Linked DNA regions of Anolis sagrei. The protein of the gene in region 1 purifies or fractionates together with the protein of each later gene. This does not show direct contact. Links are inferred from orthologs where the notes say so. Each region holds a gene or a part of one and is shown on either strand. Other genes may lie near its edges. The genes, in order: ZZZ3, YEATS2 and KAT14.

What was found.
Region 2: the proteins of ZZZ3 (region 1) and YEATS2 purify together in Homo sapiens (affinity purification with mass spectrometry; 3 studies listed by BioGRID, with this or other methods). This does not show direct contact. The link is inferred for Anolis sagrei from reciprocal best matches to the Homo sapiens genes ZZZ3 and YEATS2.
Region 3: the proteins of ZZZ3 (region 1) and KAT14 purify together in Homo sapiens (affinity purification with mass spectrometry; 4 studies listed by BioGRID and IntAct, with this or other methods). This does not show direct contact. The link is inferred for Anolis sagrei from reciprocal best matches to the Homo sapiens genes ZZZ3 and KAT14.

Annotation. Positions count from the first base shown.
Region 1 is NC_090024.1:159,679,572-159,687,301, reverse strand, and holds the start of ZZZ3 (ZZ-type zinc finger-containing protein 3), read right to left. Parts: upstream 3,006-7,730; 5' UTR 2,938-3,005; intron 2,523-2,937; exon of another isoform or gene 2,432-2,522; intron 1-2,431.
Region 2 is NC_090023.1:219,318,403-219,326,267, reverse strand, and holds the start of YEATS2 (YEATS domain-containing protein 2), read left to right. Parts: upstream 1-4,813; 5' UTR 4,814-4,951; intron 4,952-7,865. UniProt on the Homo sapiens protein: Chromatin reader component of the ATAC complex, a complex with histone acetyltransferase activity on histones H3 and H4. YEATS2 specifically recognizes and binds histone H3 crotonylated at 'Lys-27' (H3K27cr).
Region 3 is NC_090024.1:133,210,454-133,217,868, reverse strand, and holds the start of KAT14 (cysteine-rich protein 2-binding protein), read right to left. Parts: upstream 3,078-7,415; coding exon 2,822-3,077; intron 860-2,821; coding exon 741-859; intron 1-740. Other genes in the region: protein PET117 homolog, mitochondrial, read right to left, coding at 3,225-3,362, 5,418-5,513. UniProt on the Homo sapiens protein: Component of the ATAC complex, a complex with histone acetyltransferase activity on histones H3 and H4. May function as a scaffold for the ATAC complex to promote ATAC complex stability. Has also weak histone acetyltransferase activity toward histone H4.

The DNA.
Region 1 (7,730 bases):
TAACGACTCTATGAATGAGAGACCTCCAAGTCACCACATCCCCAATTACTTTGTTTAGGTCTTACAATGTAAGGGATACAGCTTCCTTAATTGAGTCTATTCATCTGGAATATGGTCTTCCTCTTTTCCTACTGCCTTCTGGCATACCAAGCATTATGGTATTTTCTGGTGACTTATATCTTCTCATGATATGCCCACATAGTATGACCATCTCAATTTAGCCCTCTTGTGCTCTAGGGAAAATTCAGGCATGATTTGCTCCAGGACCCATTCAGTTGCCATTTTAATAGTCCATGGAATCCAGCATTACATTTCAAATAAATTGGTTATGTTCCTATCAGCTTTCTTCGTTGTCCAACTTTCAAAAGCATACTCAGCAAAATTACTACACAATAATACCTGCTGTGAGAGAAAACCTCTTTTACAACTGAGAGCAAATGGTTTAAAAATAATTACAAGTTCTGCCAACAATATCAGTTTGTAGAACTGAGGTACAATTATACATTTGCTTTGCTTTCTACAAAATCTATTCAGCTAAACTATTTTGAGGACCTCTATATGTCAACTACCTCTTATCCAAAATGGTTGGAAACTAGAAGTGTTTGGGATTTTTAATTATTTATCATTCTGGAATATTTGGATATGCACACACAATAAGAAATCTCAGAGAGGGAACGGAATTCTAGACAGGAGATACACCTTATACACACAGCCTGAAGGTAAGCTAGCACAATATTTTAGTAACTTTAAGAAAGCAAAAGTGTCACTATTTCAACCACCCAAGTGCACAATTTTGGAATTCAGGGAGACCCTGGTTACAAACAAGATAGGCTCTGTTGGTTTGTTCTTAAGTTGAATCTGTATGTAAGTTAGAATATGTACATTTCACAAGTGTAACTCCTGCCAAATGTATACACATTTTAGCTTTGCATAGAACAGGGAAGGGTGAACACCCATGTGGTTTTGTTCTGCTGTCTGTGCCCCTGTTAAGATTTACCTCCTTTTCCATCCCAGTGATAATTGCGGGTTTTTAAAAAAAAATATATTGGCTTGTTGTGGAAACAGGGATGGTGAGAAAACTTCAGTGGAGACACCTTTTCCCCATGATAACTCTTTCAGGAGTGAATTTCCCTTCTGGGGGGTAGATTTATCCCAGATTATCTGGCATGCGGACACATATAACCCAGTTTAAAACAGAAAACCTGGGAGCAGATCCTGGGATATTGGGCCAGTCTGGAAGGGCACTCAGGGCTCTTCCACACAGCCATATAACTGAGAGTATAAAGGTAGAATAACCCACAATATCTGTTTCGAACTGGAAAATTTGAATCCACACTGCCATATATCCCAGTTCAAAGCAGATAATGTGGGATTTTATTCAGATGTGGAAGGAGTCCAGTAAACTATCCACTGTACACATCTGGAAAATATGTCAATGGGGACTCAGATAATCCAGTTCAAAGCAGATATTGTAGATTATCTGCCTTGATATTCTCAGTTATATGGCTGTGTGGTAGGACCCTCACTTCCTGTTGTCTCACCCTTGTTCTTAACTAGGAGTCCTTTGTAAGTCAAATGTTTGTAATTTGAGGAGTGTCTGTATTTTGGATTTGGAAATAAGAGATGTTCAGTATGTACTGGAAAAGTTATATTTTGGAAGAAAGAGCTAGCAAGACATATGCACTTTATCTAGTTATTCTTTGGCTTTAAAAACCCCTTTTAAATGCATGGAGTTGACAGAAATATAAACACACAGGGGAACTAAAAAGTACCGAAGAGCAGCGGACACATTTGGCACATGGACTTTACCAGAATTATCAGTGATGGCTCTGAAGTTCGACAGGAACAAAAAGCAAGAAATAAAAGAGTAAACATGTGAGGAAATAGCACTGTAGCCCAGGCCTGGGCAAACATGGGCCCTCCAGGTGTTTTGGACTTCAACTCCCACAATTCCTAACAGCCTACCGGCTGTTAGGAATTGTGGGAGTTGAAGTCCAAAACACCTGGAGGGCCCAAGTTTACCCAAGCCTACTGTAGCCTTTTCCCCTCCTTCCTTTATGGTTCTATGTAAATACTTCACGCCACAGGTGGGCGTTATAGGGCAGAAGTCTGAGGGAAGAGATTTCAGGGGGCTGACCGTTAGGTTGAATCTCGGGGAAGGAAGATAATGCCCGCCATGGCGCCGACGGGACGACAGGGGGCGCCTCGGAGACGCGAGGGAAGGGAAGGGAAGGGGGGCGGGAGGCCTGAGGGGAAGGCGAGTGGGCCAAAGCAGGGAGGGAAAGAGCCGCTCGGCCCCAGCACTCGCTCCGTCTCTCCCCGTGACCGAGCCCCGCCTCTCCTCACGCGTCAACGGGCTCGGAGGTGGGCCGCCCCCTCCCTCCCTCCTTCCTTCGCTCCCTCCCTCCCGGTTGCCCGTTACCATTATTACCCATCACTCTCAGCGCAGCGCCGCCGCCATCCCTGCCTCTGGCCAGCTCCCACGGGAACAAGCGCTGACCTCGCGAGAACTCCCCCTTTCAACCTTCCCCTCTTCCTCCTCCTCTTTCCCCCTCCTCCTCCTCCACTGAGAACCAACATGGCGGAAGGAAGAGGCGCGCACGTGTCCCAGGCAGACACAAATCCGGCGTGCGCGCGCGCGTCCAGACTGAAGCTACGGAAAAGGCGGGACGACGCAGGTGCGCATGCGCGCAGAGCAGCCTCCTTCACTCCCTCTCCCTTCCCCCTCCCCACAAGGCTCAGTTGAGCAGGTGGGATTTTCGAACAGGGCGCGCGAGCCTCCTCCCTCCTCCTCCCTCCGCACGCGCCGATCACATGAGGATTAGAACGCCACCTCCTCCTCCTTTTTCATCAGTGTTCCCCCCTCCCAACACATCATCCGGGTCCCTCCGCCTCATCCGTGTCCTGAGCGGCGGAGGGGGGAGGGGGGGAGCTGACCTGATTGTTGAAGGAGCTGAAGCGCTCCTTCCTTGTTCTCTCTCAGAGCCAAGCAGCAACGTCAGCGCTCCCCCCCCCCGCCCCGGCTCCAATAAACAGCGCCTCGCGGCAGCAGCGGCACCGCACCTTCCGCTTCCTCCCCATCTTGCCTGCGCCGCCCGCGAGGGAGAGGGGCCCGCTGCTCTCGCCCTGCAGCTCCGCCTGCCGGCTGAGCCGAGGAGGAAGGAAGAAGGCCGCGCTGGGCGGGCAGAGGCCTCTTCCCAACCCTTTTGCCGCAACCAGCAGCCGTTAAGGGGGGGGGGGGGGGTACACATTTGGGAGAGGGGACACTCCGTGTGTACATACAAGCCAACCAACTTTGACATGTTATATCATGCATGGGAAGGTGATAGTAGGATAGCTGGGCCCGGAAGCTCCGAGCGTTATGGAGATGCCGCAAAGGTGGCTGTGAATAAGGGAAGAGGGGGCGGAGGGAGAGAAGGGGAGAGCGAAGGAAGGGTAGAAAGGAGGGGACGCTTAGGGTAAGGGCTGGGGCAAGGTTTAGGGCAGTGGTTCTCAACCTTCCTAAGGCCATGACCCCTTAATACAGTTCATCATATTGTGGTGACCCCCAACCATAAAATTATTTTTGTTGCTACTTCACAACTGTAATTTTGCTACTGTTATGAAGCGTAATGTAAATATCCGATATGCAGGATGTATTTGCATTCACTATACCAAATTTGGCACAAATACCCCGTATGCCCAAATTTGAATACTAGTGGAGCTGGTGGGACTGATTTTGTCATTTGGGAGTTGTAGTTGCTGGAATTTATCGTTCACCTACAATCAAAGAGCATTCTGAACTTCACCAAAGATAGAATTGAACCAAACTTGGAACACAGAACTCCCATGACCAACAGAAAGGGTTTGGTGGGTATTGACCTTGAGTTTTGGAATTGTAGTTCACCTACATCCAGAGAGCGCTGTGAACTCAAACAATGATAGATCTTGACCTAACTTGACACAAATACTCAACATGCCCAAATATGAACACTAGAGAAGTTTGAGGAAAATAGACTTGACATTTGGGAGTTGTACTTGCTGGGATTTATAGTTCACCTACATTTTGAACCCCACTGATTCCATTGTCATAATCCTGTGATATTTACTTGATGATGAGAGTTGAAATGCCTTTCAGACACTGGGAAATGGCACAATGGGGGAGGCAGTGACCTGTGCCTTCTGTATTGAATGCTTCAATATGTCCATGGGCCGCTTCCTGGATGGTCTGGTAAATGAGACCCTCCAAAGTCCGGGAGAGGGGCTGTTGGTTTATTGTCCATGCAAATGGTTTTTGCCAAGTCCTTTTGTTAGGGAATTATCGGCTCAGGAAGTTCTGAAGTCCCTAGAGCCATGAGTTGCTGGCATAGTTCATGAAAAGGTCACTTTGTTTCATAATTTTTATACATACATATAATGAATGGGGGCATAGGGCATATACAGAGTTCATATGGGAAGGGGGAGGGATGCAGGGTCAAGAGAGAATTCATTTCAGCCACCCTAAAGTCATCAAAGTTCATGAAAGTTGGCAAAAAGTCCAAAAAAGTTCCTAAAAGTATATGTCCATAAAAGCACCGAGCAGCCAAAGTCCATTAATAAAAACAGGAGGTTAATTCATAGGTCTAATTCATGAATGGCCAGATTGGCCTGCCAGAGGTTGGGGGTCCCAGGGAGTGACCACAAGAGACTTCGTGGGATTGATAGGCCTCCAGGTCAGGGCAACTTGCACAAAAAGGAAACACGAGCATCGTAGTGTGGAGCCATGGAAAGAAACCTTCTTGTCCCCACATAAGGTTCCACATAAAGAGTTGGATTTCTGGGGTGCAGGGGTCTGTTCCAACAAAAAGTAAGATAGCAGTTAGTCTTAGAATTGACCTAGGAAAAAGATGGCACTGATTTGGAGCCGATCAGTCAACCCGCGGATACCAGGGCCGAGCCGGTTTCCATATTTACGGTTTGAAGGATTGCAGTTTTGGCTTCTCCGGGATGCTGCAAGAGCATCCCAGGTGAGCCAGCGAAGTTCCACGGCTTGGAAAGAGGAAAGTTCATATTTGCAACGGTGCTAGAGCCAGTAAAGGACACAATGTATCACTTCAGAGAGAGAAAGTTGGAGAAAAGGGTATTTTTATTGGGGAATTGTTACAATGAAGCAGGAGGAACTTAGTGGGGAGGAAAAAGAGTTTCTTCATTGAAGCTGTTGCTGGAGCCAAAGTCCTGTTGTCACCTTGAAAGTCCATGTTTCCAGGAACTATGGCACTCCCTGCTGCAGTTAGATCAGTTTGAAAGCGGGGGCCTCCGAGTTCAACCTCACACAGTCCCTTCATTATCTAACTTAAAATAATTGTGGGGATTGAAATGGAAAAAGGAGACCTTTTAAGGCCCAGAGCTGAGGGAAAAAGAAAAGGTCAAGTGGCTCCCTATCACGTGACTGGGAAAGAAAGGGAGTGAAGTGACCTGTATGAGGGGAAGAAAGGAAAGGGCGGGGGGAAGTTATAGAAAGGAAGGAAATAATGGAGGGCGGGAAGAAGGAGGGTGTAGAAGAGAAAGCAAGAAGGAGGAAAGACAAGAAAAGTGGGGAGAAGGTGTGTAAGGGAAATGAAGGAAAGAAAGAAGGGAAAAGGAAGAAGATGAGAAGAAAGGAAACAACGGAAGGAGGGAAGAGGAGATGTAGAAGAGAAAGCAAGGGAAGAAGGAAAAACAAGAAAAGGGGGAGAAGGTGTATGAGGGAAATGGAGAAGGAAGGAAAGAAAGAAGGGAAAGGGGGAAGATATAGGAAGGAAGGAAACAATGGAGGAAATGAAGGAGATGTAGAAGGGAAAGCAAGGGAAGAAGGAAAGACAGGAATAAAAGAGGGAAGAAGGTGTATGAGGGAAATGGAGAAGGAAATAGTTGCCCAGTGTTGCCATTGAGACATTGCAAAGTATATCTTCTCAGAGCTGGAGAAAGGAGAAAGGCAGACAGCAGCTCTTCAGGCACCTGGGGAGCAACGCTGAGTATATACAGTAGTTGTGAAATGTTGGAATTCAACCTCACACTGCCCAAGTCTCAAGGCCGCAACGTTAGCTTCGTACAGATCAGTGATTCTCAACCTGTGGGTTCCCTGATGTTTTGGCCTCCAACACCCAGAAATCCTAACAGCTGGTAATTTCTGGGATTTCTGGGAGTTGTAGGTCTAAACACCTGAGGACCCACAGGTTGAGAACCACTGGTATAGCCTAAGGGTTTCCCTTCCCCCATGTCTCATGTACGACAGTTGGGAATGTATCTATTTTGTTGTCTCCCTATCTCTCTCTGTTTCTACTCATTCTGAATGGTTGTTTAAAATTGATACTTTTCTACTGCAAGTTTTATGAATCTGCCTTCTTACACTTTAGCATGCAGAGTATGTGCTAGGTGCTTCGTGATCTCTCTCTGCTTGTGTGTCAGGACAGATGTAATGATTGAGTTTTTCTCTCTTGAAACCTTAGAGTAACTCAGACTCCATGGGTGTTAAGAGTAACTCAGACCCAATTCTTCATTATTAAGAAATGCAGTTAGTTCTTTATTATTGTGATTTTTTAAGATTGGACTCTGCATGTTTGCCTCCTAAGCTCTGAATTCTTTACCGCCACATCACACAGCACTTCACGCTCTGCTTGCTAATGAATTGATGCTCAGCTTTGGTATTCTGGGTTTTTTTATGTTCTGCTTTATATTTTAGGGTAGTTTTCCCTAACATGAAATGTGCTTTATTAGTCTTTTATTGTGATTGTTTTTATGACTGAATGTTTTATACTGTTTACCTGTATTGCTAAATTCATTTTTTAAACTTTCTGGAATTGAATGTTTGCCTTTTGTTTTGTTAGCCACCCAGAATCCTCATGGGGAGAAGGGGTGGGATATACATTAATTCTAGGGATTTGTAGTTTGATGAGCAGTTAAAGTGATGTCAAACTGCATTAATTCTACAGTGTATGTATTGGTAAAGGTTTCCCCTTGACATTAAGTCTAGTTGTGTCTGACTCTAGGGGGTGATGCTCATCACCATTTCTAAGCCGAAGAGCCGACATTGTCCGTAGACACCTCCAAGGTCATGTGGCCAGCATGACTGCATAGAGTGCTGTTACCTTCCCGCTGGAGCGGTACCTATTGATCTCACATTTACATACTTTTGAACTGCTAGGTTGGCAGAAGCTGGGGCTGACAGTGGGAGCTAACCCTGCTCCCCGGATTCAAACTGCCGACCTTTTGGTCAGCAAGTTCCGCAGTTCTATAGTATAGATGTAGCTTTAGAGGTCTAGAATACGTATGTTATTTGAGTGGACAAGGCCAGTCCTACATACAAGCTACAGCAGAATTAGTAACTTGCACAGGCAGTATAACTCTTTAAGTGTAAGCCTAATGAATTTGACATAGCTGTGTCTATCTTGTTCTGTCTCTGAGCTGATGAGAGATGACTGATAAAATCGTCATACTGTTGAATTACATAAATGACTTCCAAAACTTGTGCTATCAAAAGTCTTATCAGTAGCATGGTTTGCTAGGGAGAAAACAAGTTAGGGACGAGAATAGTAAGTAGTAGACCTTGTCTCAGATGTGCTTAGTATACTTGCTCATTTCCTTTGAGGAGTGATGTCTCCAAATCAGTTTCATGTAGAATAGCAGAATAATAACTATATGAAGCAATCCCACTGGATTTTTTCCTTTCCTTTCCTCACTGTTGTATTACGTTTCTGTAAATTCAATGAAGAATGATAGTTGAAACAGAAACA
Region 2 (7,865 bases), on another chromosome or scaffold:
TAAACAACAAATAAAACAATCTAAAATAGCAAGATTTTTGTTTTATTTTTTATGATAACAAGCCAATTAAAAAAATACAGTTCTGCTAACCATAGTTCAGTATCTGAGCACCCGTGAATCAAATGCTAGTTCATTGTGATGAGATTCTATCAAATAGCAATTAGAAATTTCCAACAGAATCCAATGAAAGAAGCTTTTCTTAATTTCTGTCTTTTCTGAATATTCAGTTGGTTTGTCCTCATCCAGTCCATTATTGACAGTAGGTAGACACACTGTTTGGGGAGACATGCAGCTTGTGGCAGAATGAAAATCACACATAGTTCACATCTTCGCCAATCCACACACTGCCTTGCTAGAGAAAAGATATGCCATGCAAATGTTCAGTAAAGAATAAGCTGTGTACTCTTTGTTATGCAGAGCAACATATATAGTCATGCGAACAGTTGCATTGACTCGCAAAATGTCCTTTGAGAGAGATTCAAATGGTCCTTGAATGTCCATGTGAAGGATCTTCTTCCAGCAGCTCAAAAGCAGAAAATTATACTACTTGTCTTGGCAAGCTCCTGCACAGAAAACCTAAACATGTAACTGTTGCCAGAACTCCCAGGCTCAGCTAACACCCCGGGAATAACCCAACCAATCAGCTTAATGCATTGCATTTTTCAGTTAACACACACACCAACTGATTTTACATGCTTAAACACAGCTGTGTTGAATTTGCAGCCAAAAAGACTCCATTAGTGAAGTCTCTGCAATGCCTACTAACACAGAAAATCCCTTATCAAGTTGCTTATATTCCACAAGCCGATCTTCATCATATACAGTAATACTCTCATGATAGTAAATAACTAAAGAATCAGAGGAACTTTAAGAGGCATCTATTCCACCCTAGGGAGACAATGTGATATAATGGTTTGAGCACTGGACTATGATGCTGGTGAACAGGGTTCGAATCCCCACTTAGCCATGAAACCCAGTGTGTCGCCTTGGGCAAGTCACATTTCCTCAGCCTCAGAGGAAGGAAATGTAAAACCTTTTCTGAACAAATCTTGCCATGAAACAGCTGTGATAGTTGGGTTGTTGTAGGCTTTTCAGGCTATATGGCCATGTTGTAGAGGCATTCTCTCCTGACGTTTCGCCTGCATCTATGGCAAGCATCCTCAGAGGTAGTGAGGTCTGTTGGAACCAGGAAAAAGGGTTTATATATCTGTGGAATGACCAGGGTGGGACAAAGGACTCTTGTCTGCTAAAGCTGTGATAGCTTTACCTTAGGTTGGCCATAAGTTGGAAACCACTGGAAGAAACACAACAATTGGGTGTTTTTTGTTGTTGTTGTTGTTGTGTGTCTTCAAGTTGTTTCCAACTTATGGCCAACCTAAGGTAAAGCTAGTGCTAAAGGACCCCAGGAAAAGGTTGTGCAACCTGTGTTTAAAGATATTATAGAATGTAAGACATCAACTGAAAATTTAAAGATATTATAGAATGTAAGACATTAAAGGCAGTTTCAGATTTAAAAAAACAATTAAAAAAGAAGAAAAGGGACATTAAAAAATCCCCACTTTTACACCAGATTAGCACCAGTTCTGTAATGTTGTAGACACATTGCAAAGAGTTCTTCGGCTCTTTGCAATAGAGCTTGCTAAACTGCTAGGATTCCTTTGTTGAAATACCCTTCAGTCAATGAAAACTTATGCTACCAGCTTCTTTCTCTTAGTCTCAATGATGTTACAAGATCCAATTTCATTGTTAGAGTTGTCAGAGGGAAAACTGGAGAGGGCACTGGCATCTCTAATAATTGTGTGGAAGAGGATTTTTCAACAGGTGTTGTTTGTGACCTGGCTGCATACCTGATGGAATTCTCTCTTCTGCACAGCCATTAAAAGTATAGGAGCCACCTACAGTTTCCACACATTATTTTGCTTGAACAACACCTGAGGGTTTCCTGAGTTGTGACGCCTCTGGCTCAGGGAGAATGGAGGACCCATCTACATGGTCATATGATCCAGTTTCTGAATACAGATTATCTGCTTTGAACTGGATAATATGAGTCTACATTGTCATATTTTCAAAAAGTTTCCCCTTGACATCAAGTCCAGTCGTGTTCAACTCTGGGGTTGGTGCTCATCTTCATTTCTAAGCCGAAGAGTCGGCGGTGTCCGCAGATGTCTCCAAGGTCATGTGGCCAGCATGACTGCATGGACCGCAAAAGCAGTACCTATTTATCTACTCACATTTGCATGTTTTCGAACTGCTAGGTTGGCAGAAGCGGTGACTAACAGCGGGAGCTAACTCCACTCCCCGTATCTGAACCGCTGTTCAGCAGCTCAGCGGTTTAAATGCCTCCACCACCAGGGGGACCTTATATATGACTATATTGTACTATATTATTATACTATAATACATATAATATACCAATATGCTGATGAGAATGTAGTCTGTGTGCAGTCCAAAACACCTGGAGGGCCCGTTTGCCCATGCCTGCCCTAGCCCATCACATGCCAGATTCTCTGGTATGGCCACCTGGCAGGTCTGACTCCTCCATTACCCACCTTCGATGGTGCCGCCCTATCTCCATCAACCACTGTTAAGAGCTTAGGTGTCATCCTGGATTCACAGCTGACAATGGAAGCTCAGATTGCTGCTGCCAGCAAACAGGCCTTTTTCCATCTACGACAAGTGAAGCCACTGGCACCCTACCTATCTGACGAGGCTCTGGCAACTGTCATCCATGCCACGATCACATCTAGGCTGGACTATTGCAATGCCCTGTATGAGGGCCTTCCGATGTCTACGACCCGAAAGCTTCGTATTGTTCAGAATGCGGCAGCCAGGCTACTCACAAGAACGCCCATGAAATGCCATATAACACCAGTGCTGCAACATTTACATTGGCTTCCAACTGAGTACCCTGGCCTGTATAAGATGCTAGCTCTGACCTTTAAAACTCTTTACGGCCAGGGTCCATCGTACCTTAGGGACCGCCTCTCCTTTTCCCATCATCGGAGGTCGCAACGACCAGCCCAACGTGACTTACTCCATATACCAGGTCCTAGAGAAGTGCACTTGGAAAGGACCAGACGCAGGGCTTTTTCTATTTCTGCCCCTGCCTTGTGGAATTCCTTGCCGCCCTACATGAGAGCCATGCGTGACTTAGGGCCTTTTACTCTCGCACTTAAGACCTGGCTTTTTACTAGAGCATTCGATCTCTGTTGATTTTTAATTTTTGTATGTATGTATTTTATCTTTTATAATTTAGCTGTAAATCGCCTAGAGCATTCTCGGATGGAGGGCAATTAATAAGTTATTAAATGATGATGATGATGATGATGATAAACTACTATGCCATCAAAACATGACAATATCACAAAATCTGACACTGTTTGCTTTACAGATTGGTTGTGCTGGTGGGATTGTTTGCAGGCTATTAGGAATGGTGAGAGTTGAAGTCCAGAACACTTGGAGGGCCCAGATTTGCCCATGCCTGCTTTATACTAACCACTTGCAGCCTGAGCTAACTGGTAAAAGGATAGAGATGACTAATGTGGTAGAGTCTCCTCTGGAGGTTTGGAAGCAGAGACTGGATGGCCATCTGCCGGGAGTTCTTTGATTGTGTATCCTCGCATGACAGAATAGGGTCACTAACTGGTAACAAGATGTGGTAGCAGGGCCGTAGCCAGAAATTTTTTTTGGGGAGGGTTGACAATTTCGGGGGGGGGGGGTGTTGAAATTTTTGGGGAGGGTTGAAAATTTCAGGGGGCGGGGTTGAAACCTGCCTCCTAGTGCACGCTAAAGCAAAGAGCACAGCAGGGGGCAGAGCAACCTTCAGTAGCCTGCAGCTCCACCCCTGCCAACCACCTCCACCAAGTCTGGCCTCCGCATTCAGCACACACACACCCAACTTGGTTGCTTCACTACATCGGCTATTGCTGCAAGTAATGACAGTGTGAATAAATTGTCAATATTTGCTTGAGATAGTGCTTGCAGTTCTGGAGATACTCTTAATTTTTTGCATCTCATAGACTTAGCATGGGGATTTGGTTAACCAGTTAAAATTCATGAGTAAACCAGGTTTTTTAAAAAAAATCTGAAACATTTCGGGGGGGGGGTTGAACCCCTAAAACCACCCCCTCGCTACAGGCCTGTGTGGTAGAGTCTCCTTCTCTGGAGGTTTGAAAGCAGAGACTGGATGGCCATCTGCTGGGATTGCTTTGATTGTGTATCCTCGCATGACAGAATAGGGCCTCCAACTGGTAAAAGGATGAAGATGACTAAAGCGGAAGAGTCTCCTTCTCTGGAGGTTTGGAAGCAGAGCCTGCGCGGCCATCAGCCGGGAGTGCTTTGATTGTGTATCCCTGCATAACAGAATAGGGTGTCTAACTGGCAAAAGGATGGGGATGACTAATGTGGAAGAGTCTCCTTCTCTGGAGGTTTGAAAGCAGAGGCTGGATGGCCATCTGCCGGGAGTGCTTTGATTGTGTATCCCTGCATGACACAATATGGTCTCTAACAAGTAAAAGGATGGGGATGACTAATGTGGAAGAGTATCTCTCTCAGGAGGTTTGAAAGCAGAGGCTGGATGGCCATCTGTCGAGAGTGCTTTGATTGTGTATCCCTGCATGACAGAACAGGGATGTCTCTGTCTAGGATTCTGAGCTAGAAGGAGCCCTCCTTCGCGGGGGGAGTCTAGGGAGAGGCAATCCTGGGCGCCGCGGGGCAGACCAGGCTGGGGGAGAGAGGGGTCCTTCTTCTGCCGGCTCTGCCCGCCCCTCGGCCTCTCTCCGCCTGCGCAGCCGCGCCTCCTGGGTGGCCCCGGCGCTGGATGGCGGCTGCGCGTTGCAAGCGTCGGCCTCGCGGAGCCTCAAGCGGGTGCCTTGGTTGGCTGGCTGGCTGACGCGCGAGGCTCGCCCACTCGCAGCGGCCTTCCGGGGAGAACTTCTCAGCCGAGCCACCGGTGAGTCGGCGCTGCAGATCCGGCGGGAGGTTTACCGGGCTGGGAAGGGGGGGGGGGTGAGAAAGCGCGCGCTGCGGCGCATGCGCGGGGTCGCCTCTGCCCAGTGCTCCCGGGTGAGTTAGTTGTTGGGGAGGGGAACCTTTTTGCAAAAAAGAGGCAAGTTTTGCTCTTTGAAAGGAGGAGAACTTTCCGAATTGTATTGGTAAACTCTCCCATACACTTTGCAGGAAAGTTCATAGAATCATAGAAGATGGGAAATATCTTTCCCCCTCCCCCAAAAAACTACCCAGTTCCAAGTTTCCAACCTCGTCCTGCCATGCAGCAATACACAATCAAAACACTCCCGACAGATGGACATGCTTAAAGAAATCAGAGGGTTTTTTAAAAAAAAAAATCTGCATTGCAACCTTGTCTTTAGCGTTGATTTCGCTTTGGAGTCCCACGTGCAAGGCTGGAAAGTTGCACCTGTCTCTTCCTTTACATTTTGATGGTGTCTAAACAATATATATAATGCATTATATTATATATTGTATATACATATAATATTTATAATGTTATAATGTAATGCAATATAATAGTACTACTAATAATATGATATTATAATTATATATTTATACTAGCCGTCCCCTGCCACGCGTTGCTGTGGCCCATTCTGTATATATGTGTTTTGTGTGTATACATATGTGTTTATATATTTGTGTATCTGTGTATATGTGTGTTTCTGTATATATATATATATATATATGTGGGTGTATATATGTGTGTGTAGATGTGTATATACGTGTGTATATATTTGTGTGTTTACATGTGTATATGTATATTGTGTCTATGTGTGCTTGCCTATATACATATTTGTGTTTATATATGTGTGCATGTGTATATGTATATATGTGTGTATGTAAATGTATGTGTGTGTATTTGTGTGTGCTTGGGTATATATATACGTATGTGTATGTATGTGTGCATGTGCATATGTATATGAGTGTGTGTGTGTGTATATATATATATATGGTGTATTTTGGGGGTTTTAAAGTCCGTTCTGTATTTATATTTTTAGGGGTGATGAACACTTGTTGGACTGTTAGGTGTATTGAGTCAAAATTTGTTGTCAATTTGTCTAGTGGTTTCTGAGTTCTGTTAATCCCACAAACGAACATTACATTTTTATTTATATAGATTACATGTAATATTACTAATAATATTACAATATAATGGTATAATACAATATAGTAATATTTAATACTTATATTGTACTATGCTAATAATAAAATATATTGTATGTATATATATCTTGTAATCCGCTCTGAGTCCCCTTCGGGGTGAGAAGGGCGGCATGTAAATGTCGCAAATAAATAAATCCACATTGGATCCAATCCTCAAGATCACAACAATGCAATATTGTGATGTTGTGATATTCCAGGATTCACAAAGAGTCCCTCAGGAAGGTTTTCCCCAAGTACACATAGGACTCCAAATTCACACACACACCCCATCCCTTAAGGTAGCATTTGAGTGCATCTACACTGTAGAATTAATGCATTTTGACACTGCCTTATCTGCCATGGCTTAATGCAATGGAGTTCTGAGGTTCATAGTTTGGTGAGGCACCAGCACTCTATGGCAGAGAAGGCTAAAAAGAACTTGTGAAACTACAATTCCCCTGATGGAACTGAGGCAGTTGAAGTGTTGTCAAACTGCATTAATTCTACAGTGTAGAGATAATAATAACAATATTCCTAACCCACCTCTCTCCCCAAGCAGATTCAGGGCGGCTTCCTGTCCTGAGTTGCCCTTCAAAATAGCCTTTAGACAATGTTGAAAGTAAAAGAAAAATGCTTTACTTCAGTAAACACAAAGGATAAGCAAATGCAATTGAAAAGTGCAAAGGAAAACAAGAAAGTCTTAATCCAGACACAAATTAAAGTCCCAAAAGAAACACCAGTCTTCCATCAGACAACGGACGATGAACTAAATTCTTAGCAGCAGACACAAAGCAGATTCCATTGGAGTGAAAACAGCAGTAACAGGGTTGTTGTTACCAGCAAAAGCTGACTCCTCCTGATTTGTAGCCCTGAATTCTCCATGCAGGAGGTGCTAGGGCGTCTCCCAATTAGCTCAGCGTTTTTAGCAGCTGTCCTAGCTGAATGCTGTCTGTGCTCTCTCTTTTCGTCTCTATAGAAATGTGGACGCTTTCAAACCCTCATCATCTGATTCTTCTTCTCCCTCCAATTTCTGAGCACTTCCCTGCTCCCCTTCCTCCTCCGAAGATGAGGAATCCCTAACACTTCCAAAACAAGGCAGACATTCAATGTCCCATACAATCTATTTAAATAAAAATGTAATGTTGGTTTGTGAGATTAGCATAACTCAAAAAGCATTGGATGAATTGACACCAAATTTGGACACAATACACCTATCAGGCCGACAAGTGACCATCATTCATAAAAACACTGAAAAACACAACAGATGGGACATAAAAGGCCAAAAAAGCAAAAAGACACTACAGCGCATGTGCAAAAACAACTCACCCTGGCAAACAAAACGCACAATAGCATATCCACTCTCTCTTCCAGACTACAGCTCCCAGCATCCCCTAGACCAGGCCTTTTTGGAGAGGAGGATGATCCAAATGCACTTTACTTTCAAGATGCAAGCTTTCTTCTTCTTGGATTTCTTTGAAAGCATCCCAATCCTTGCATATTTCCACTTTCCTATTCTTGGACTGTAACTTCCAGCAATCATCCAAATAAGATAGATAGATAGATTAGATAGATAGATCAGGAGGATTGCTGAGAGTTGCAGTCCAAGAATAGGTAGAGAAGGGAGAAAGGGGAGAAAGAGGAAGGGGAAGAAAAGGGGGGGAAGGAAGGAAAGAGGAAGAGAAGGAAGGAGAGAAGGAAAGAAAAAAAAGGAA
Region 3 (7,415 bases), about 26 Mb from region 1:
GTATTTTAATTGGTCGACATCTTGTGTTTATGAAGTTTATGTATTTTAATCCTTGGTTTGATTGTTTATAAGTTACACTGAGTTTATTTTCTTGTATGTTTTGCCTTGAATTTTGTTTATTTGTTTTCTAGCATTGAATGTTTGCCACTTTTGTTATTTCTTGTGATCCGCGCTGAATCCCTTCGGGAAGAGAGGGCGGTCAATAAATAAAGTTTTATTATTATTATTATTATTATTTCTTATCATTATTAAAAATGAAGAAGGTAGTCAATTCTGGATTAAACCGAGTGCTTGCTAACATAATGTGTACAACCAGCATGGTTCATTATATAGGCACAAGAGTGTTTGAAGGAACATGGGGCTACAACAGTGGTTCTCAACCTGTGGGTCCCCAGATGTTTTGGCCTACAACTTCCAGAAATCCCAGCCAGTTTACCAGCTGTTAGGATTTCTGGGAGTTGAAGGCCAAAACACAGGCTGAGAACCACTGGGCTACAAGGCATAATGCCACTTTCCATGTTCATAGCTGTGTCTTTTAATGTTAAGAAAGGATTATATTTGTAATGAGTTTTGAACTGCTCTAGCTCAAAAATCACTTCTTTTTGCCTTTGCATCAAAAAGTTAGCATAGGTTTAACAAAATCACTAGAATCTCACTAAACAAACAAAAGATCCCCAGTGTATATCATTACACAGAAATTTGAAACCTTCTTACTCCATTACTGCTTGTTTGCTACTTACTTGCTGCCATGTTAGTTTTAGCCGTTCAAACTGCTCCTTCCCATCTTCAGCGCAATCAGAGCAAGTAAACTTGAAAAAGTTATCACCTTTGAGATGGGTGATCTGTTCTCTCACCTGACCTATAAACAAGCAAGGAAAGGCTTCAGGTTTGTCATAAACTGTAAAACTGCACATTGCATTCTATCAGAGTGGAGATCCCCTGACTTCAGTAAGAAGGTTCTTACTAGATATGTTGCTCCTTAAGAGAAACTAACGAGACTGAATAATTTATGCTTTAATTACATTTCAATTTATTAGCATTAAAAGATTGACAGAAATACTGACTCTAAGCAGGTTGCCTTTTGAAAATCTGAACACTTTAACCTTTTTTTGCTGAACTGTAAGAAATACTGACTGAAATACTATTGAACACCCTGAAAATATATAAGGCTAGATATTTTTAGAAAAATCAGATCATAATCCATAAGCTTCATGACTTTTATTATTTGTTTAGTTACATACCAGTATGTAACTAAACAAATGACAGGGAATCAACAGATAATTAGTACAGGAGGCTTTCACTTATTTGATAGTCTAAGGACCACAACACTGTCAGAAAGTGGAATTGGTTGGGAAGTGGAACCCGGGGGAGGGGGGGGGGGTAGCTTACAAGTGCATTCTGACTGCAGCATTTTTTTCCCTTGACATTAAGTCCAGTTGTGTCCGACTCTTGGGTGTGGTGATCATCTCCATTTGTAAGCCAAAGAGCCAGTGTTGTCCATAGATACCTCCTAGGTCATGTGGCTAGCATGACTGCATGGAGCGCCGTAACCTTCTCGCCAGAGTGGTACCTATTGATCTACTAACATTTGCATGTTTTCGAACTGCTAGGTTGGCAGAAGCTGGAGCTGAAAGCGGAAGCTCACGCCGCTCCCAGGAATCGAACCTGCGACCTTTCAGTCAACAAGCTCAGCAGCTCACACTTTAACCCAGTGTGCCACCAGGGGCTCCTCAGTACAGTATAGTGTAACATATATATGAGCAGTCCCAAGTTAACCTCATAGACAAGATGTGATAGAACAGTGGACCTGTCATCAAATTACTGGAACTTGTGTGTAATTTTGCAAGCCTTGAAAGAGCAACATATCAGAAAACAAGGCGTTCAAAGACAGAAACCTGTAGAAGGATTTCTTGCCTGGTACTGAAACAAACTGTGTCACTATTTATATTGTACTGATTATGAGGCTTATTTAGAATCAGCAATCAACGTCCAAAAAAATCATGGTGCATGCTGGAGTTTTTCTAGCTTCTCTTTACACAGCAGATACCACCACTCCATGAATCTAGGACCCCACCTACAAAAGCCATTTAATGCAGTTTCAAACTGGTATCAAAAAAGTGGCTTTGCTCTGCAGATGATTACATAGAAAATCCTGGAATCAGTTTGAGGCTCAGATGGTGATTACACAAACCATAGAGCACTGATATGCATTAAGGGCTTTCTTTTGCTAGCTTTCATGGCCATTTGTTGTCTAGCTAGTTTTGAACTGCATTAACTTGTCAGTGTGGATAGGGACACAGATGAATTTCTAGAATAAGATCCTACACAGTGCAAATACTACAGCTGAGAGCAATAACAGACCAGTCTCTGCATACAGAAAGAACCACCTTAGATTTGAATGTGGGGCTTCAAGGAATTTAACTTCATAATGACTATGATCATAACTGCTCAACAGTTAAAGCCTAAGCAGTCGGTTTTCTCTTATCAGCAAACAGAGCAAGACAGCAATGATGCCCAAAACTTGTAGCAGCTTAGCATATATCCTGGAGGAGAGGGGAAAAACCATCCACAGCAGACGTAATTTGTTCAGCATTTTAATTTTATTTGTACGAATCCATTTGCATAGTTGTTACTCTCATTAAACAATGAAGGTTTAACCATAAACCATATATTCTAGATGGACTGTATTTCAAATGACAGAGAAACACATACATCATTTTCATACACATAAATACAGAGAGAGAGAGACAGGCAGACAGACAAAAAGGGAATAAACCTGGAGTTCTGAAAACCACAAAAATTAAATATAAGGGATTCTTACTTGCAGCTATCCATTTCTGGCATCTTTCGCAATAATAGGACAGCTCCTCTGACCAGGATGTTTCCCCTTCATCACTATTCACAGAATCTCCACTCTGATCATGACTCAAATCCACTGATGCCTGATCTTCAGATTCCACTATGAGAAGAGTCTCCCCTTCCACTTCCCCTTCTTCCAGTCCTTCTGAAGGGGACGTCCTTGTTGCTTCATCATCATGACAACTCATCATTTCACTTATGTACATACTATTATCCATTGTTTCTTAAAAGAGGATTTTTTTGGTATGCTAGAAGCTTCCTCTGCTAATAGCATTAGACATATGAAGATTATCTCAACCATCAAGAAACCTATGCAATTACTGAAAGGACCAGGAAATTTCAATTTCAATTCTTCTCCGTCACTGTTAGCATTTTTTGAGCACTTGAATTTTGCTTTCCATTTCACGTTGTTGGATCAAGGCAGAACGTTCCTCCAAAAGGTTAATATATTCTTGTTTATGATTCTGTCTCTCAAAGTCTCTCAACACTCCTTCGCGTAGCCTCTGAAAGAAGGATATGATCATTTTTACTTCACAGGAAAAATGATATTGGAAAGAACGCCCCACAGTGAAACTTCTCAAGTTGTGTTGAAAAACAAAAATTAGACTGAGCTATCTTTTTCCTAGCAACTAACATAAGTTTTCAAGTGTTGCTAACTGCCCTGCAGCCAAACAATAATTTATGTTATACTAATAAGTATATAAACAATTTACAAATTAAACAGAGAAAACTATCCAAGAATCATTATTATTTGTAAAAACAATCTAATCTAGTAAATCTATATAAATAAAAATGTAAAGTTTGTTTGTGGAATTAACACAACTCAAAAACCACTGAACGAATTGACACAAAATTTGGACACAATACACCTATTAGGCCAACAAGTGACCATCACTCATAAAAACACTGAAAAACACAGCGGAAGGGACTTTAAAGCCAAAAGAAGCAAAAAGACACTACAGCGCATGCGCAAAACGACTCCCCCTGGAAAACAAAACACATAAAAGCATATCCACACTCTCTTCCGGACTACAACTCCCAGCATCCCCTAGACCAGGCCCTTTAGGAGAGGAGGATGATCCAAATGCACTGCTTCCAAGCTGAAAGCTTTCTTCTCCTTGGATTTCTTTGAGAGCATCCCAATCCCTGCATATTTCCAATTTCCTATTCCTGGACTGCCACTCCCAGCAATAATCCAGATAGATAAGGTAGACTGAGTAGATGGAGATGGATAAGATGGGTAGGTAGATAGATTGAACAGGAGGACTGCTGGGAGTTGTAGTCCAAGAATAGGTAGAGAAGGAAGAAAGGGGAGAAAGAGGAAGGGAAAGAAAAGGGGGGAGGAAGGGAAGAGATGGAAGGAGAGAATGAAAGAAAAAAAGGGAAGGAAGGAGGGAAAAAGGAAGGGGGAAGAGAAAGGAAGGAGGAGAGAAAGGAGGGAAGGTTGGCCACAGCAACATGTGGCGGGTACAGCTAGTGTTTAATAAAAATTATTTGGAGAGATAAAAAATCCAAATTATCTGCTTTGAACTGGATGATATGGTCAGATCAGCTGGAAAGCAGGGGTCTAGGGCGAACTCGCCATCAGCATTTTAGAAGGGGCCTTTGTCATTTCCGACTTGGTAGTAAATGATGCCAAGCAGCTCTCTAGTGCAAGTGGTTCCCGACCTTTAATCCTCCAGGTGTTATGGACTTCAACTGCTAGAAATCCCAGCCATTTTAGCAGCTGTTAGGAATTTTTCTTTTTGTCGTGTCAGGAGCGACTTGAGAGACTGCAAGTCGCTTCTGGTGTGAGAGAATTGGCCGTCTGCAAGGACGTTGCCCAGGGGACGCCCAGATGATTTGATGTTTTTATCATCCTTGTGGGAGGCTTCTCTCATGTCCCGACATGAGGAGCTGGAGCTGATAGAGGGAGCTCACCCTCCTCTCCCCGGATTTGAACCTGCGACCTGTTGGTCTTCAGTCCTGCCAGCACAGGGGTTTAATCCACTGCTCCTGTTAGGAATTGTGGGAGCTGAAGTCCAAAACACTGGGAGGACCAAAGGTTGGGAACCACTCCTCTAGTGGTTTGCTTCTACTTAATGCTATATTCTTGCCTCATAATCTAGTGCAGTGGTTCTCAACCTGGGGTCCCCAGATGTTTTTGGCCTTCAACTCCCAGAAATCCTAACAGCTGGTAAACTGGCTGGGATTTCTGGGAGTTGTAGGCCAAAAACATCTGGGGACCCCAGGTTGAGAACCACTGATCTAGTGGAAGTGAGAGGAATTCAGAGACTCTCTATCTATTCAGAGACTCTATTCTATCTACTCTCCCTTCCAAAACACATTGAAGTTCTGGCATTCTTCTAATTCTGGTGTTACTTCATGTGGAAGCTATGGTTTTGAAAAGGGTGCCATGCCAATACAGCGCCAAAGGAAGGGAGGCAAGGCTGGGCCCTCTACAGAGGCCTCTCAAAGTCTCTTCTCAGGGAAGCAAGCACTTCCGCCGCGCGCGAGGCGGAAAAAAGGCTTCTAGCACCTTTGGGGATGACGTCACTAGGGAAACCGCGCGCCGTTACCTCTTGCAGGCGCCTCTGCTGGAGGTGGACGCCCGCCACGACCCCGCCGGAGAGCAGCAGCGAGGCCCCCAGCACCACTTTGGAGGCCGTCGACATGGCGGCTCATCTGCGCATGCGTGCTTCCGCGCGCCCCCTAATGCGCATGCTTGCAGGGCGCCGAGTAAGATTGCTCCCTCCCTTTGCTCCCCTCCCCGTTTCTGAGGGGCGGGGCTTCTACACTGCTCTTTTTTAAACAAGTGCTGAGAAGAGAAACTTAGGATCGTCTTATCTTCTTCTCTATATAAATAAAAATGTATTGTTCGTTTGTGGGATTAACAGAACTCAAAAACCACTGGACGAATTGACACCAAATTTGGACACAAGACATCTAACAACCCAATGTATGTCTTTCACTCAAAAAAACTGATTTTGTCATTTGGGAGTTGTAGTTGCTGGGATTTGTAGTTCACCTACAATCAAAGAGCATTCTGAACCCCACCAACGATGGAATAGATCCAAACTTGGCACACATAACTTCCATGACCAACAGAAAATACTGAAAGGGTTTGGTGGGCATTGCCTTGAGTTTTGGAGTTGTAGTTCACCTACATCCAGAGAGCATGGTGCACTCAGTGATGGATATGGACCAAACTTGGCACAAATATTCAATATGCCCAAATATGAACACTGGTGGAGTTTGGGGAAAATAGACTTTGACATTTGGGAATTGCAGTTGCTGGGATTTATAGTTCACCTACAATCAAAGAGCATTCTGAACTCCACCAACAATTGAATTGAACCAAACTTGGCACACAGTTCTCCCATGACCAATAGAAAATACTGCAAGGGTTTGGTGGGCAGTGTCCTTTGGTTTTGGAGTTGTAGTTCACCTACATCCAAAGATCACTGTGGACTCAAACAATGATGGATCTGGACCAAACTCTACACAAATACTCAATATGTCCAAATGTGAACACTGGTGGAGTTTGGGGAAAATAGAGCCTTGACTTTTGGGAGTTGTAGTTGGTGGGATTTATAGTTCACCTACAATCAAAAAACATTATGAACTCCACCAATGATAGAATTGGGCCAAACCTCCCACCCAGAACCCCCATGTGGGTCACAGCAATGCATGGCAGGGGATGGCTAGTAGAATATAGAATTGGAAGAGACCTCATGGGCCATCCAGTCCAACCCCCTGCCAAGAAGCAGGAAAATTGCATTCAAAGCACACACACACACAGATGGCCATCCAGCCTATGTTTAAAAGCATCCAAAGAAGGACCCTCCACCACACTCTGGGGCAGAGAGTTCCACTGCTGAACAGCTCTCACAGTCAGGAAGTTCTTCCTAATGTTCACATGGAATCTCCTTTCTTGTAGTTTGAAGCCATTGTTCCACGTCCTAGTCTCTAGGGCAACAGAAAACAAGCCTGCTCCCCCTTTCTTATAACATCATTTCATATATTTATACATGGCCATCATATCTCCTCTCAGCCTTCTCTTCTTCAGGTTAAACATGCCCAGTTCTTTAAGCCGCTCCTCATAGGGCTTGTTCTCCAGACCCTTGATCATTTTAGTCGCCCTCCTCTGGACACATTCCAGCTTGGTTTGTTTGTTTGGCTCCTTGCTGCACTCTCATATGTGACTAGGATGCCTAGTCAATGTTGCTGGATTGGAAAAATTATCTTCTTTACCTTTATGGCAAAGCAAAGGCACCAGATGTCTTTCTGATTACACTAGGGCCCCTTCCACACAGCTGTATAAAATCCACATTGAACTGGATTATATGGCACTGTGGACTCAGGGCCCTCCAGGCAGGCCCTATATCCCAGGATCTGCATTAAAGTGGATTATATAAGTCCCAGATAATTTGGGATAAACAGAAAACCTGGGATCAGATCCAGGGATATAGGGCCTGTCTGGAAGGACCCACAGATAGCCCTGTTCAAAGCAGATATTGTGGATGGTCTGCCTTGATATTCTGGGTTCTATGACCTTATGTCCCGGAATATCAAGG